Linked DNA regions of Oryzias latipes. The protein of the gene in region 1 interacts with the protein of each later gene in a pairwise test. Links are inferred from orthologs where the notes say so. Each region holds a gene or a part of one and is shown in the gene's direction. Other genes may lie near its edges.

Region 1 (3,956 bases):
ACAATCAATCCCCCTTTTGCAGAAAGGGGTCGTACGGGTTGGATTACAAACGACGCTGAGCACTCCTCCTGCTGTAAAAACAGCTAGGATCAGTCAATTTCTATCTGAAAACCAGAGTTGAAACTGATGAACGATCTCTTTAGAGCGGGAAAAGAGATGCAGGGGTGGAGCGGCCCTCGACCTCTGAAGCTGATTAAATCAGTCCAGCAGTCTGCCAGTCTGCTGGAAGACAGTCTCCCATCTTAATGTAATATTGCTCTTTATTTGATCTGCACCACTAAAGCACTGCATTAGATATGATATTAAGCTCTATTATTACCTAATGTTGCCCTGCAGGTTTCTAAATGTTATTAAGTTTGAAGACTGTTGCCTCATCATGCAGTTCGGCACAGATGCTGCTCTGATCAGCTTTGTTTTTGTCTCATTTTCCCTCCTTTTGCTTTAATGAAAGTTTCTGGTCTTGCCCAGAAAGTAATAATTTATTTAGCTTCTGATTTTCAATTTGTTTCCCAAACCAAGAAGTGTTAAAGGAAACAGAAAGCAGCTCATAAGAGGCTCTTCATTCCAAATGTCATTGTTTTTTTAAAGCCTGACAATAAATCCATTTTTCCTGCCTTCACTGAAACGAGTGACTGTGGAAAAATCCTTGAGTCTGGTGTCTGTTCCCACAAAATACAGTCATTCTCTGGTTTTTCAATGTGACTCATATTTGCAGCTAAATCACAAAAACACATTTTTAATATTATTCTCATACAAACATGTTTTTTTCTTTTAATTAATGCTTTAACTTGGCTAAAATGATTGGACAGTCTATTTTTTAAAACGTGTTTACAAAGTGCGTTAGTGTGTGTCATCTCTGAAAGTCTTGTTCTCCTCCTAAACTCTGTCTTTTTTCTGTGTTTCATTAAAGTCACTTCACCAACATTCCTTTGGAATAAGACGCCCCCCAGAGTAAGCCTTGGGGGGGGCCAAGACGTGTTTCATCATTTATTTACACTTTAATCAAATAAAAGCATTTTTTTATTGACTTTTTTGTTAAGACGTCTCTTTGCAGAAAGATGAAGCCCCGCCCCTTACACGAGCGACATGTCGCCGCGGACCAATGGCCGCTCGCGCCTGCCTCCTTCCTCGCAGGTGGGCGGGGGGCGTGGGGGGGTCTGTATGCGGCGCGAGGCGGAGCGGCGGCAGTCGGACAGGATGAAAGCTGCCGCGCTCTTTTAAGCGCGCGTTCTGTGTGCGCGCGAGGACGGAGGGATGCTTTTGTAGCGCGAGCGCGGAGACAGCGGAGCTCGCGGGTTCGTCACATTCTCAGCTTTTGTTTGAACACCTGAGGAGGAGGAGGAAGAGGAGGAGGAGCGCAGATGGAGACCGACAAGATCCTACCGGAGCTGCAGGCGGAGAAGGAGGCGCTGGACCCGGCCTTCCAGCACTGTCTGCGGCTCCTGGAGCGAGGTGAGTCCGGGCTTCGCTCTGACCCCCCTCACAGCTCACAGCCTCCCGCGATGAAGGAGGCTCCTCTTCAGTCAGAATGTTCTAAAGTTTAGTCAAACCCGCCCGCCGTGAGGCGAAAGTCTGTGGATGAGGCTGACATGATGATCCACGCACGAGCGCGAGCCCGGAGTGTGCTGTGACAGGGCTGCGTGGATCCTGAGGGGGGATGATGGGGAAGCTGCTCTGTGGACGTGGTCCTCTGTGCTGCTGGAGGGTGGGGGGGCTCCTGTTCTCAGTCCAGATGCTTTTGGCTGGAAAGCCAACTCACCAGAGTCTGGAGGCGTGTCTGCCACGATGCTCCTCACATGCAGCCGGTCTGGCTCCATTCCGGCTCGGCTCTTCTGGGTGTTAAACTGGGGGGTTTGACTGGGTATCAAACCGTCCCTCAGAACCAGAACATCTGCTCACACTTTCCGATTCTTCCCCCAGCAGCAAGAGTTACTAGGAGGAATGAAATGTTACAGATGCATCTGCTCCCCCTGGAAGTGTCTCTGGTTTCCATCTGACCTTTGAGCTGCAGGTGCGACTCCTGAGCTTCTCTGCTCAGCAGCACTACGTCCACATGCACACCAGCGGCGGCGTTTCAATAGAATAAGCCATCGCTCTGTTTATGAACATGGATGCGTTTCAGGAAGTTTCCCACAGTTTGTTCATGTTCAGGAAAACCCGCCGTCCTCCAAAGAAGTGTCAGACTCGTGTTTCAAAAGGCTGCACACATTTGTCAGCTCTGTGAGTGGAAATGCGGTTATTTTTCCGTGTGATGATGTGAAGTTTCAGGACAGGGGCACAGCTGAGCTGAGCTTCTGGGCTTCATGTGATCCTGCAGCTCGAAGAACAGAAGCGAGTGCTGCTGGGAAACAGAAACCAGCTTTGCTTTTGGAGATTGTTTTGTCGTTTGTCATTTTTTTGGACTGTCATTCAGGCGTGAGGAGAGTGAGCAGAACTTCTCCTCCTCCTCCTCCCTTGACTCCTGTTCCCTCCTGATCTTTGCTCAGAGGTTGGCAGAAGTCATGGGTGAGGTTTTGAGAGTAATCAGATTCCACGCTGTGTGAAGTTTGGCGTGAACAGCACACCACAAACTGTAAATCCTGTTATCTGTCTGGTATGCGGCAGATGGAACGCTGCGCTGCCTAATGATGTTTCTTTTTGCCGGCGTTGACTTCTTGAGCAGATTGTGCAGCTGGCAGGAGAAGCGCGGAGAAGAACCGGAGCGACCGGCGTGACAGCTCCTGGACGCTGCTCCTCTGCGGGATGTGGATGCAGACCTTTGAGGTGTGGAGAAGCAGCAAGTGCTTCTGGTATTCAGTTAGATCCACCTCTGATACCAGAAGACGTCTGCCGAGGTCTGAACCGTCCCTCCCCTCAAAAGCCAAGATTGGCCTCCGCCTGCACAAAGGGCCACGGCTGCAGCGCCGCGCTCCTGTCCGGACCTCCAGGAAAGCTTGTTAGGAAAGCCCTGCAGGCTGCGAACTGGGAAAACGCTGTGAAAGAGCTCCCTGCAGCTGCGCCTGCTCACGCATGCAGGTGCGCCTGCAGCTGCGCCTGCTCACGCATGCAGGAGCGCCTGCTCACGCATGCAGCTGCGCCTGCTCGCGCATGCAGCGCACAGCAGACGCGCCGGCTGGATTGTCCTCGTTAGGTGGAAAAGCTTTGCAGGGAGAGGAAGAGGCTGCGGTCGGGGCGGCCGATCATTTGGCTTAAATGCTACTTTTGGGAGTTCTGTTGGGATGAACCTGAAGAAGCAGCAGATGCATCGTTTCCTTTCTAAGAAAGAGCTGCAGATAAAAGAAAAGGACATTCATGAATCCTAAACACTTCTAAAAGTCAATAAATGCAACATCCGTTTAAAAATGATCAATAAAAGTAATACAAATGTTTTAAAAAAGCAGTATACCTCAATAGTATTAAGTTTTTGTAATGGGACTAAACCGTTTCAAAGGATCCAAATCTTCCTAAATGAGAATTAAAATCTAGAAACAAATTTCGACTGTTATCGATCTGCTAAGACGCTCTTCGTCTGTAAAACATCCGAAACGTTTCAAATATCCAACGTGGAAAACTTGGAGAGAAAAGGAGAAAAGCTTTTCTGCAGATGGAAATATCCCAGTTTGGGACCAGCAGCAGGTTTTTACTTCACAGAAATCAGCATAAATGTTTTTATTTTTTTTACGGCGTTTCTCCTTTTTCTGACCGGTCCTCCTCTATCCAGTAGATCCGGTTGACTTTGGCGCTCGAATGAGGTCGAGCCGAGACAAACCCGGCCTTTAAAGATCAGCAGAGCTTCAGAAAGTCCTTCCGTATCCAGATGACGCATCTGTGAAGTCTCCATCGGAAGCTCATCTGTTACAGATAGGCAGAGCTTCAGCCGGCTGAAGGTTTCCTTACCGCAGATGGTTGTCTGTCGTCACGGCAACGTTTGATCCCATCAGAGGCCTTCCTCTGGTTTACTGCCTCCTCCGCTGGTT
Region 2 (4,202 bases), on another chromosome or scaffold:
ATATGACCACCACCATAACAAATATTTTCTAAATATAATAATAAACGGGAATCTGCTGTGTCCAATTTTATCAGCAGTGTCTTTGTAACATAAGACAGGGCTCACTGCGTGAGAGCAACCTGTCCCAATAAATCCATATTTTAATTAAGACTCCTGATATTATCTGTTAAATGCAGCTTTCTTGTTGATTTTTGAAGTCATCTCTCTGATTCTTATACTGTGCAGAAATTGTCCAAATAATTCGGTTTGAGTTTCTTTTGTCATCTTGGGGTTATTTTGGTTTTACCGCCTGAGTGGCTTCTTTAGGAAGGTCACACATGTAGGAAGACATGTGACCGAGCGACTTTACATGCATAAAGTGTCACGGAGAGAATCTGGTAGTTTTTCCCAAATGAAATGGCTTTCAAAATCACTAATGACTAAAATGGAAATTTGTTTTTTCTTTCTGTGTCTGGGTACCAAGTGACCCTTTGCCCAGAAGAGACCCCCAACCTAAGGAGTCAGGTTGTTCCTATGAGTGGTCTGGTCGAGGGAACAGCTGATGTTCTACAGAGTTCTCCGGTCCTGCTGGAACTTTATGAAAACTTGCTGTGTCGATGACATTTAGTCCCTTTTGTGCTTCTTTTTTTTTGTATATTAGCTTAAGAGCTGAATTTGTAAAAAGAGTTGGCACGTTCAAAAAGCTTTTTTAGATTAAGCTAATGCAGTCTTGTTAAAAGTATTACTTAAAATCAGAATTCAGGGTTTCTGCGTTGGCATAAAGGAAACTTTAATGTGCACTGAAGCCAAGATGTTAAGATGTAGCAGGAGAATTGTTTTCTCACAACACTGTCTGCTAGCCACTGGCAGGTTTGACTGCAGACCTCCCAAAAACTGCTGCCTGAACATCCAGACAGAGATTTTGAAAGCAGACACGCTCCGTCTTTGATGCAGCTGCAGACGTGTTTGATCTCTTATCAGATTTGTGAAAATAACTGAGTCTGAGGGGGCGAAAAAATCCTTCCGGCTTAGCATACGGTGGGCAAGGAATTCCACAGATTTGGTCCATGTGGAAATGAAGCACAAAGAAAAGCTTCTCCTCTTTGTCCTCTCGTGAGCAGATGTTGACTCTGGGATGTGCTGCATCTTCAGCATCGATGCTCCGAACGGTAAACGCTGAGCGAGCTTTTCACATACCTAGAGTGCTTCTCAAAAACAGGAAGAGCACTTTGAGAAGGTGAGACGCTGCTGTAGAGTGTGTAAGTAAGTTATGCTGAAGAGCAAATGTGAGCCAGAGAACGCAGCCCTGTGTTCTCTGGCTCACATTTAAAACGTGGACAGAGGAGAAACGGGCTGCACTAAAGGAGAAAGGAGGTATGAAGTCAGAGGGGTCAGCTGGTGCTGCAGCTTACAGCTATACCAGCTGAAATCTGAGACTTGCACAACCACAGTGAGGCGGAGGGAGGGGGCAGAGGGAGGAAGAATGTCCAGCCTGGAGAAAGAAGGCAAACTGCAGGCTTTCAGAGGACACGAGGCTGCAGGAGCAGCAGGGAGATGCAGCTGGAGCTGAGCTGAGACATGTGAGGGCTGAGCCTGCAGAGACAAAGATAAAGACTCGCGCTGGATGCGGACTTTAGCTCTGTGTTTCAGACAAACACAGCCAGTGGCGCTGACACCGACCACGCTCCCCAGGACAAAGAACATCACTGAAATCCAAACCGAGAAGAAAGTGAAGGGGGAGACTTCACACTGGATTTTTTTCTTCTTCTTTCATTTCCTCTCGGGGAGCCAAGGTTAGGTTTCTGAGCTGGGGCTCTCTTGTTTTGAGGATTTTTCTTTTGCAAACTTGCACTTTTTTTTGACTCCTCTTTCTATACCTGCTAACCAACCGCCCCGTGGAATGTCAAATAGTTCCTGAGTGGAGAAACTGGATAATTACCCAGTGTTGGTGAAGCTCTAATGACTCTCCTAAACTGCCTCCCGTTTCCTGTGCAGACTGGCGAGTTGATTAACCCTTTAGCCTGCCTGGCTGCTGTCCGGGCTCCTTCTGTTGCTTCTGCAGTGGAGTCGCTCAAACACCCTGGACTCTGACGTTTTCCCGCTGTTAAGGATCTGCTGGTGTTTGTTTGGACACAACCCTCGTTCTGGATCTGCTGCAGAACTCCAGCCGCTCAGAAGCTTGTACTTTCCAAGGGGAGAGGGGTGGGGGCGGGGGCGGGGGTGGCAGGAGGGGAAATATGATCCAGTATTTGGAGGAATGCGTAGAGCTCCAGCAGCAGTGTGTGGTTTCCATGGAAAAGGCCTGAGCAGCGTGGCACAGAGGGGCTGCATACATGCTTTACCTCTATGTCTGTGGTCCAAGTGAAATCCAAGCAGACAAGTGTAGCTCCACAAGCTCCACCCTGGAACTCCCTGTTCAGGCTGCTCTCATGCGTAGCAACCAGGAATGTGCACAACACTAAAGGTGAAGCGCGTCGATCCTCACCAGCTCCATGTTTCTGCCCAAGGTGGCTTGAATTGGCACTTTGTGTGCAGGGGGCCGTGTTGGCACACCGATGCTGTGCGTGACGTGGGCGAGCACAGAAGATGCTTTTAACCGTTTCCCTGCGTACATTATGTTGCACTGTTTTAACGTGGATTAACGTTTGTGTTGAATCCCCCTTCACCTGTCCTGATGTTCCTCTGTTTAGTTTTGTCATTCAGGATATTTAATTTCTTATCATAGAAGAGAAAAGGGAACGACGGGAATGTTTTCTTCACAAATAGCACTTTTGAACATTTATTAAAACTAATTTGCTTTTTAAATATTCATTTTGTGTGTTTATGTTTTGGTCCTTTAAGGGCCTATACCAGGCTCTTCTTAAGCCTTTTATAGTAAAAAATATATATATCCATGTATATGATGATATATTTTGGGACACAAAAGAACATTTCTTTTAAAATTAAATATTAGTTATTTTCCTGAGTTCTTTTCCAATCAGGAAGTAGGACGACTCCATCTCTGAGGCTCCGCCTCTCGCTCTGTGATGCACAAAAGATGTTCTTGTTTTCTGTCAAAAGATTCATCACATAGTTGAAGGATTCAATATATACAAAAAAATGTACAATTTGTATTTACTCAACATTGTATTTAGGTTTCTGCTTGGTTTCTTAAATAACATCAATTAAAAATAATAATAATTTCCAATCTTTTGAGAAAAATATCCAATCTCTTAATTAATGAAACTATTTCTAGATTATATTTCTTCAGCTTCTAAAAGGGAAATGGTTTTCTTTTGCGATGCGTTTAAAGATTGTTGAGCCTCCATGAGGTTCATGGAGGCAGAAGCTGTTGGTGAAACAGACTTTTTGGTCTGTTTGCAACCAAACCATTGGCAGAACAAAGACAGGAAGATGTTTATGGTTTATGGTTTCCTTCATCGTTGGTGTTCACCTTCACGCCCCGAACCATCGATGGTCTTATCCGTCTACCTGTTCCCACACCGTAGCCCTGTTTTCTGCCTATGTTTGTAGACGAGACGGTTTATGTGGAGATGAATTTTTAGTTTCAAAAAGCAGCTTCCTGTGTTTGCGAGTTCTGTTTCCACACAGAAGGAGACATTGTACGTCGTTTTAACAGAAACCTCAAATCAAATGTGATGCAATCGTGTCCAGGAATAATTTGCTTTGTGTAGATTTTGTTCAGCTGAAGACAAACGGGTTTCACTCGTCAACCTTTAGTCCAGAAATGGACCAGACTTACTGAAATATGAATGAGTGGCTCTGCAGCAAAGCGTCCACACAGCAGAAATCTAAAGTGAGCACGCTCTGTGTCCTGCCCATCAAACACCGCCTCGGCGCCATCCGGCCCTCACGTCTGCCGGAACATCACAACAATCCGAGCCCACTTCTGTGTCTGACTGGAGAACAAAGCAGAACGTTCAGAACCAGCCTGTCGGGTTCTCATGTGCACTTCCTTTGTTTTCTCTTTCAGAGGTCCAAACATTTCAGGAGCAGACAGAAGCCTTATTTGGAAATCTTATGGACGAAGGTCAGTCTGTCTTGTCTGTCAATCTGTCTGTCTGTCTGTGTCTGAGTGGATCTGTTGGGGATTTGCTTTACATTTACAGGATCGATGGCAGCTTTGTTGGTTTTCCCATGTCTGCTGTAGTTTTGTGTGTGTGGGCTCAGACCTTTCTGTCGGGCTGATCAGCCGTCCCGCTGCAGGGCCCGGCCCACGCCGT
Region 3 (4,183 bases), on another chromosome or scaffold:
CTCTAACGTATGTGCAGCAGGATTCCAGTGGAAGGACCAAAAGCTACAAATGTGCCATGAAAAAGATTCACAGTAGGCTGGTTCTGATGTCCTCAACTCCTGGGATGTTCTACAGGTTCTGCAATCAACTGACTATACATCTGAAGCATTTGGACCACAGGAAAATCGTTATCATTTATATGTGTATTTTCTGTGTAATATGGTTAATTTGGTGGTAACTTACTACTACCGCTATTTGTTTCCTCCTTTTCCAGAAGAAAGTTTCAATGAAATTGTGGATAAACTGGACTCTTACTGCACAAGTTGGAATTTTGGACGTTTTGAGACTTCTGATGAACTAAGAAATCCAAAATTTTATTAAATATTTTTGCTGCGTGACCAATGATTTGAAGATCCAAACAAGGCTAAGGACTCCTGAGGGTGATTTATATAATTACTATACAACTGGAATAAGTTCTCTCAAAAGAAAAGCAAACAACGTAAAGAGGCAAAACCTTTACATTCACAAATGTACCATGTAAATACATTTATCAGCATCAAACTTTTTAGTTGCTTTGTTTTCCTTTAAAACAATGCCGTTTTCACATCAAAGCTTTGCTCAAGAATAGTACTCAGATCTGTAAAATGTGAATGTTTTGATGTCAGTTTTTTGGAGTAAAACAGGTAATGCTCTTTGATTTTGACTCATTTTGTTTTCTTTTTTTAAACTGGCTGCTACTGGAGTGTTACCATTAAAACCCCCAATGAAAGAATTCCCTTTTTGCACTGAGAACAAACATCAATTGAATATTTTTCACGGCAGCTTTGCTCAAAAAAGAAGTGACAAAACCATGTGAAGAGAATGGCGTCTGCAGCTCTGGAGGTGCAGTGACTTGAAACTGTAATTCTGTTTCCATGTCATGTGACCTTCACTGTGGTTTGTGAGCAGACTTTTTTTTTGTCTTACTTCTGTAAAACTTCCTGTCCATCACATGAACACGACAACCCACCCTATTTCCTGAACCCGTAGGCTTTAGAGAACTTGCAAAGCCTTCTAATTCAAATGATTGAAAGCACACAGATGCAGACCTCTGGGTTAACGTGCCTTATTTTCATACTAATAAGTGCCAAATATCAACTTAAAAATGTGAAAACTTACAAATTCAAAGCCTATTTTACTTCCTGTTTCTGCATACGACATCTCCTTTTCATTAAGTGCGATTTAGAGAGTTAGTTTGATTATTTTCAGAGTTGGGTGTGTTGGTTAATAATTAGAATATTTTAAGGAGGACTGGTCCAGTGCATGCCAAGGCCTGCATTTGCATTTTACAGCTCAGGGGACCTGTCATACAACAGACAAACTGAAGGCACCACTGCCCTCCTCTCTGCAACCAGACCAATGAGGAAGTTCAGAGCAGAGCTCGCAGCAGCTTCCTCTTACAGCTTGACGAAGCAGAGGGGGATCAGATGAGAGAAATCGAAGAAGAATAAAATGGCCAGAGAGAAAAGCTAGTGTTTATTTTATTTTATTTTATTTTCAAAGAGCTGATGCAAAACACCGGAGCTCAAGCTCTTTGATGGCAAGCAAGATGCCAGGTTATCAACCTTGGTACCATGGCAATATAACCCGATCCAAAGCCGAAAATCTTCTCTCCAATACAGCAAGAGATGGGAGCTTCCTTATCCGGGACAGCGAGTCCGTACAGGGAGCTTATGCCCTCTGTGTTTTGTAAGTTATCAATATTTAACCATCATGAATGTATACTGTTTGGTTAAAAGTGCTTTACCAGTGACGTTTTACAGTGTGTCTTAAACTGTTTATCCTTTGTGGAAAGAATTTGTGTATTTTTTGCAGAATTTTTAGGTATTTCTGCATTTAACTCAGACGATTTAAAGTACAAGGCCTCTGATGTCTTTCACAGTTTCACATCCCATGCTTAGGCTATTTTTTACACTTTGCAATCCAAAACTAGTTCCCTTTTTACTTTTCATTGTGTGCCATATTTAAGAAGCACCAGCCTGTGCCTTCTGCAACACTTTGTCTTAGCGCGTTTATTTGGCCGACCTTAATTTAAACGCCCCAGAGATCATTTTTCACTTATACTGAATTCATGTTGCATTTGTCATATACCAATGACAAACATTTGCACTTCTCCCCCTGACCAGATTCCAGACATGTGTTTACACATACAGAATCCTTCCAAACGAGGACAAAAAGCTCTCTGTTCAGGTGGGTGGACGCTTTGACACAAGCGACAGATTCTTCCCTTTGATAAACCTTAGATTAGGTGTATCAGATTATGTGATATGTCTCTCCTAGCATCTGCTGGCACACAGCATTTTCTATTCTTGTAAGGTCTAAATGAGTGATACTGTAGTTAGGGTAAGAGTTCCTTTAAACAATCAAGGAAGTTTACACTTTCTGAATTTCAAGTGAGATGGACAGTAGATCCTGTTTGACAGAACAGAAGAAGTCCTGAACCTGAGAGAAAGCAGAGTTTTACACTGAAATCAGGTTAGCTTTGTGCAACGTTGGAGATGAAGGTTAGGATGAAGGAAAGTACAGCAGCTCTTTGAAACAAGAACCAGATTTTGGCCATCTGAGCAGTGCTAGGTTTTCTTTCACAGTAGATCTGTGACACGTCTTTGTGTGATGTAAAACATGAAAAAAAAAAAACAGTTCAACAGGAGGGTGAGTTTCCTATTTTAGGCTTGTCTATGGCTTTCCTGCTTTGAATTAAAGCTACCATTGTGTTGGTTTTTACATTGGAAACCTATAATGGAGATGTTGTAAGTCATTGAGCATTCTATCTTTTTGAAAACTAGGACTTTGAAAACTAGCTGTAAAAAGCTTCGAGTTGGACATTTGCCTCAAAGGAGGAGGGCCTTGGGTGTGAAGCATATATGCAGAGAGTGGGGGCTCCTCCACACGTGTCTTTAAAGATAAAAAGCACCTCAAAGGTGTCAATTTCTTTGATTGACATTTTAAAACAAAACTGAGAATTACAACGCCATGTTTGGTAGAGCTGTAGAGAGAACGACCTTCAGACAGATTAGACTAAACTGAAGCTTTATGGAGAAGTACATTTTATTTACAAACAAAAATAAAGCAGAATAAGAAAATAGACTGTCCCTATTGTGAAACATGGAGAAGGGTTGGTAATGGTCTGGGCTGTGTTGGTGCATCTGTCCCAGAGTTTTTAAAATAAATCTTAGGCCTATCAAGGCATCTTGGAGGCAAATATCCCTGAAGGCTTGGCTTTAGCTAGTGGTTCTTCCAACAGGTGATTGACCAGAAGTCCCAACTAAAAACACTGGACTATTCTGAAATGACATTCTGTTTGTATTTATCTAAATCCCCTTGATCTGTTGTTGAAGAGGAGAAATGCCTTCAAACCTCAAACAACTGGAGCAATTTGTCACTGTTATCACAATTCCTTTGCTTGCATTGAATAAAAAGTTGAGGGTACTGTGATGCGTTTGCATGATTTGCAGTGACAGCGATACTCTGGCTTATCTGTGTCCAAGGCTGTTCCGAGTAACACTCTGTCAAAAAAGAAACTTTTTCATCCCAGCCTGGAAAATTATAACCATTGTGGTTTTTAACAACAATGTTGCATAATATTTGTACTGTTTAAACATCTCCCAGAACAATTTGGACGATATGGTTGGTCATAAAAACATCAGAAAATACAATGAGTACTTGGATGGTTGTATTTCTGGAAATAAGATGTTTACACGCTGAAGTATTTGGAACAAAATTGGTATATGCCGTTTGTCTGACCCTGAATGCGGCTTATTAGAAAAATGTAACTGGGTCTTGTCTTCTAAAAAGAGCTTACTAACGGTGAGAGTTTTGTTGTGCAATACCATTTTGATTTCTGGATTGAGACACATTCGGGACAGTTGTTGGGGTTCTCATAAAAGATTAACAGGGTTTTAATGCACCTTTGAGACCTTTTAAATGTATTTATTTTAACTGTTTTTATTCAAATGTCTTGGCTACATGTGTTACATATCCTCCATCATTTCTGCATAATATCCCAAGTCTTCAGAATTGTATGAAAATGTAAGACATGTTGATATTTTTTAAAGGTTACTGGCTAAAACTATGGGGGAAAAAAAGATTATATATTTACTTTTTTTGCAGGCATCAGATGGGGTTCCTATTAGGTTCTTTGCTTTGCTGAATGACCTGGTGGAC
Region 4 (4,130 bases), on another chromosome or scaffold:
CAACAGATCAGATGATCAGGAACATGGATGAACCCAAACATGTTCTTCATCCATCAGAACCTGCAGGACAACCCAACAGCTCCTCTGCAGAACCTCCTGTCGTTACTTTGACTGAAGTCACTTTCAGTTAATGAAGGCGTTACAGCTCTGACAGTGTCATATTCAAATGTAATAGATTACTTGTACGAGTAACAATCGATGATAATAATCAGAGATGAGTTCCTTCAGTTCGGGGTTTTTTTGGGGACCAAAAATCGGATCAGAGTCCGAGTCTGACACCGTTTCACCTTCGTCGACCATTCTCCAAACATTTACAGATTTCTTTTGTGACAGATTTTGTCGCCGAACCGGTTTACCGGCGCAGCGGGGAGGCGCGCGGGTGCGAGGCGTGTGTGACCGGTGCGCTCCGGACCCCCGCCGGCGGCCCGCTCACCTCTTTTCCAGGCAGTAATCGGTGACACCACCTCCACCCTCTCTGAAATCAGCTCCGCCAAACTGGACCGGAATAGAACGGCACGGACCGTCACGGCGACAATCATTAGGAGCGTCAAGGGAGCCGCCATCTTCGCGAGGAAGCTCTCTCGCCCTGCGCTCGAGGTGCATGCTGGGAAGTCAAGTTTATTCCGTCTCGTCAGGAAAACATTTACCTCCAACCTCCACAGATTTACAGTCCAAGCAGCGATAAGGAGCGAGTTTAATAATAATAATAATAATAATAATAATAATAATAATAATAATAATAATAATAATAATAAAGGAACATATTTACAAAAAGACTATTTAAAACGCATAATTCAAGCAATTAAAATCAAGATTAGAATTTTGTTTTAATCAAATATTGTATTTAATTTTATGTGTAAAGGTAAATAAACACATTTTAAACAACTTGAAAAGGAGTTTAATCTCAACAGAGGAGTTTTCATATGATCTTGTTGTTAGTTCTAATTTTGCATATGCTGAATATACATAAAGACGCTGTAATTTTAAACAATAATATAGCACATATTACAGGCGTTTTTCTTTAATCACCCCGGAATGCGGAATGTTTTGTCATTTGCGTGTTTTCAGTCGAAAGATTTATGTGACGGATCAAAACAAAACTGCAACTCGCCGTCTAGTTGGAATAAACTATTTTACTGTTTCCGGGGGCGTATTTAAAAATAAAATAAAATTAACGCTTTTGTGGGCCTGTGTTAGCGTCACGTTGAAGTAGATTATCGTTGTTCGTTTTAAAAATATCTGATTACTAAATTGTGACTGTATCACGTCTACAATACTATTTTAGCGTGTCGTATGTGTTTTCTGCAATCCTCTAAAAGCCACGTGCTTTTACTTTGAAAATCCCTGCAGGAAGTCGCTGTGGTTGTTATGGAAGCGACGACTCTGCGATTTTTGTTTTCTGTTCTTGTTCTGTGCTGTTGGTTTGTGAGACAACATGGCAGGCTTGGAGGTGTTGTACACCTGCGTCACAGGTAGCCTGACTTGTCCTCAGGACGCCCTCGTGTGTTTCGTTCACTGGGAAATGATCAAGGGAGGATACCGGTGCATCGGTTCCGGAGACGAGGTGGGTCGAACTAGCTAACTTAAGCAGAACCAGAAGAGACAAACCAACAACACATTCTGGTTTTATTTAAACACATTTAAGATACGAGACGAACCAAGTTAATGCTGTTTGTTTACTTTTAGATCGTAGTTTGTTGACAGCCTCTGAAGTCCCTCTGAGTTACAGTTTTGATTTAAACTCTCAGTCTGTGGGAATAAATGTTAGCTTTGCTACATTAGCAGGAGGATCAGGATGGAAACTGAAACTGTCCTGCAGGCGATTCAGAGGAAACCTCCGCTGAGTTGGTTCTTCTTCCTCCATCTAGGTGACCTTTGACCTCCTAAAGTTCTGCATTGAGTCATGTTTTAGTCCGATTTTTAGTCTCGTGCAGTTGGCACGCGCCATTTGGTCTCATACTAAACAAATGGACTTTCCGCAAAAAGTGTCACGTCATCTTTAGCGCGGGGGGGGGGGCACAGAAGCGTTTGAAAGAGAGGGTGTCTCACCCCCCCCCCCCGCCCCCGTCCCTCCCCCCAGCCCCGCAGCGGTGACCGGAAGTCGGAGCTCCTGCCTGCAGACTGGAGCAGCAACAAGGAGCTGTACAGTCTCCGCTACGAAGGCGCGGACGCAAAGATGCTGCTGAAAGCCGTCCCCGTGGACTCTGCTGTGATATTCAACCTGATGGTAGGCATGGGGGGGGGTCCTTCAGGACATGAGGGGGTGGGCACTCTGCTGGAATGAGGGAGAACGAAGCATTAAATGCAAAAAGTCTGCAGCGAACCTCACATCTGAGACGACAGAGAAACAAATCTGAAATTTAAAAACACAGAGGCCGCTTTTAGGTTTCATGGCAACATTTGGCTCGTTTTAGAACATCAGACGTGTTTTGATGATGTAGGGAGCACACAAAGGCGTTATTTATCATCTCAGAACTGTTGAAAGGTGAAGATTTAGTGGAATAGCTTCAAATTAAAAAAATAGAGAGCAGTCAGAGATTTTAACAAAGGTTTTCTGAATGAAGATCAGATGGCTTTAGGTTTGAACTTTGATGGTTTTCTTTTATTTTGATTTCCCAGCAGAAGTTCTGAAAAGGTCTTCAAAAAGAAACTTAAACTAGAAGGAGCTGCATTTCTAGAAGAAAATGCCGGTTAAATGCTGTACTGCTGAATGAAAATGAAACTTAAAGGGGAATAACGGGCAAAAAATAAAGAAATGATCAAAGTTGACCATAAATAAAGTGAAAACAGCACAATAACAAAAATGTTTGTGAAAAATGCCAGAGCCGGGTATCAAACCAGCGAGCTTCTGCACCAAGGATTCCCCATTTATTTAAATGGAGGCAGAAATCCTGGAATATCTGGAAAAGTTCAAGGATTTGAAGGACCAAAAGTCACAGCTGGAAAAAGCTGAAAGAGCCGAACATTTGAATAGATGGATGGTTGAAATAGATGAGTAACTGTAGAAGATAAGCTGCAAAACATGGCTGAAGATACTAGAATAAAGAGAAACAGGAAAACAATAAATATTTCTGAAGCAGAAACCTGGTGAATATATTATGTGTAGTTGTGCAGTGAGTCGGTACAGCCCTCTGTCTGTTTCTTCAATCTTTATTATGGTGGCATGTTATTTTTCTGTTCCGTTCACGTCCTGCAGACATGTGGACTCGTGTTGTATTGAACATGAGTCCACGCGTCACGAACGTCACAGAAACTCTGAACAATCGTCGTTCAGAAATGCTGACGTCAGATTCCAGCTGAAGGTAACGGCGGTGTGACGGCGTCTGCTTTCTGTGTGTCTGAAGAACTGCAGCACGCAGCAGGTGACCGACCTGACCGTGAACATGAAGGATCACGTGGACGCCGACCATCTGGACACGTTTGACAGGTCGGTGTAAAAAAACGTCCCCCACAGGAATCAGCAGTTCTTCCTGTTTTCAGTCCCTCAGGGTCACAGAGTCACAGGTGAGGAGGGCAGACCATAAGAGCTGCGGGTGCAGAGGTAGCAACCCTGAATCTGGATGAAATGATTGACTGAAGGCTTTTATTCTGAAGGGTTTTCATAAATGGAGACGGTTTGTCAGAGAAGGTGAGGGCTCAGCTGCTGCCCCCCCAGGAGAAGAAAGCAGGGAGGAGGAGTTTGCGGGAGGATGAGGACGAAGCAGGAGGAAGGAGGAGGAGAGAGGAGGACGACCCTCTACGCATTCCCAGCAGACGTCCTGGTCCGGGAACGCAGCATCCATGGTTGGGAAATTCTGGCATTGATTTGATCACAGCGATGGGATAAAGAAGTCTTTATTCTCTCTTTCTAGAATATTTCTATATTCTGAAAGTTAAAAGAAATGACGTTAAAGTAAAAATCAGGAATAAATTCCTGTTATTTTCTCACAGAACTGAATGAGTTGTTAGATCCGTCTGAACTTTAAAGGATAAAAGCAGAAACAAGTCTATCTAAAGATGAGCTTTTATTTTGAAAGGTTTATTCTGTCAGGAAGGAAACAGTCATCACGGATGCTGTGCTGCTCCTGATGAAGGTGAGGTGATTCTTCATCATTTGATGAACGCTTTGTTTTTCAGGCGTGAGCCTGCAG

Evidence for each region.
Region 2: the proteins of khdrbs3 (region 1) and siah1 interact in a two-hybrid assay, tested with the Homo sapiens proteins (3 studies listed by BioGRID and IntAct). The link is inferred for Oryzias latipes from reciprocal best matches to the Homo sapiens genes KHDRBS3 and SIAH1.
Region 3: the proteins of khdrbs3 (region 1) and inpp5d interact in binary tests that used the Homo sapiens proteins (3 or more experiments, as listed by UniProt). The two-hybrid records come from large-scale screens. The link is inferred for Oryzias latipes from reciprocal best matches to the Homo sapiens genes KHDRBS3 and INPP5D.
Region 4: the proteins of khdrbs3 (region 1) and psmf1 interact in a two-hybrid assay, tested with the Homo sapiens proteins (2 studies listed by BioGRID and IntAct). The link is inferred for Oryzias latipes from reciprocal best matches to the Homo sapiens genes KHDRBS3 and PSMF1.

What each region holds. Positions count from the first base shown.
Region 1 is NC_019869.2:24,808,127-24,812,082, reverse strand, and holds the start of khdrbs3 (KH domain-containing, RNA-binding, signal transduction-associated protein 3), read left to right. Parts: upstream 1-1,156; 5' UTR 1,157-1,361; coding exon 1,362-1,452; intron 1,453-3,956. UniProt on the Homo sapiens protein: RNA-binding protein that plays a role in the regulation of alternative splicing and influences mRNA splice site selection and exon inclusion. Binds preferentially to the 5'-[AU]UAAA-3' motif in vitro.
Region 2 is NC_019864.2:25,286,456-25,290,657, reverse strand, and holds the start of siah1 (E3 ubiquitin-protein ligase SIAH1), read left to right. Parts: upstream 1-1,402; 5' UTR 1,403-2,325; coding exon 2,326-2,443; intron 2,444-3,952; coding exon 3,953-4,009; intron 4,010-4,202. UniProt on the Homo sapiens protein: E3 ubiquitin-protein ligase that mediates ubiquitination and subsequent proteasomal degradation of target proteins.
Region 3 is NC_019862.2:27,116,308-27,120,490, forward strand, and holds the start of inpp5d (phosphatidylinositol 3,4,5-trisphosphate 5-phosphatase 1), read left to right. Parts: upstream 1-1,383; 5' UTR 1,384-1,556; coding exon 1,557-1,708; intron 1,709-2,145; coding exon 2,146-2,209; intron 2,210-4,129; coding exon 4,130-4,183. UniProt on the Homo sapiens protein: Phosphatidylinositol (PtdIns) phosphatase that specifically hydrolyzes the 5-phosphate of phosphatidylinositol-3,4,5-trisphosphate (PtdIns(3,4,5)P3) to produce PtdIns(3,4)P2, thereby negatively regulating the PI3K (phosphoinositide 3-kinase) pathways.
Region 4 is NC_019863.2:32,757,249-32,761,378, forward strand, and holds the start of psmf1 (proteasome inhibitor PI31 subunit), read left to right. Parts: upstream 1-1,330; 5' UTR 1,331-1,435; coding exon 1,436-1,564; intron 1,565-2,080; coding exon 2,081-2,227; intron 2,228-3,344; coding exon 3,345-3,427; intron 3,428-3,594; coding exon 3,595-3,783; intron 3,784-4,116; coding exon 4,117-4,130. Other genes in the region: pigu (phosphatidylinositol glycan anchor biosynthesis class U protein), read right to left, coding at 434-563. UniProt on the Homo sapiens protein: Plays an important role in control of proteasome function. Inhibits the hydrolysis of protein and peptide substrates by the 20S proteasome. Also inhibits the activation of the proteasome by the proteasome regulatory proteins PA700 and PA28.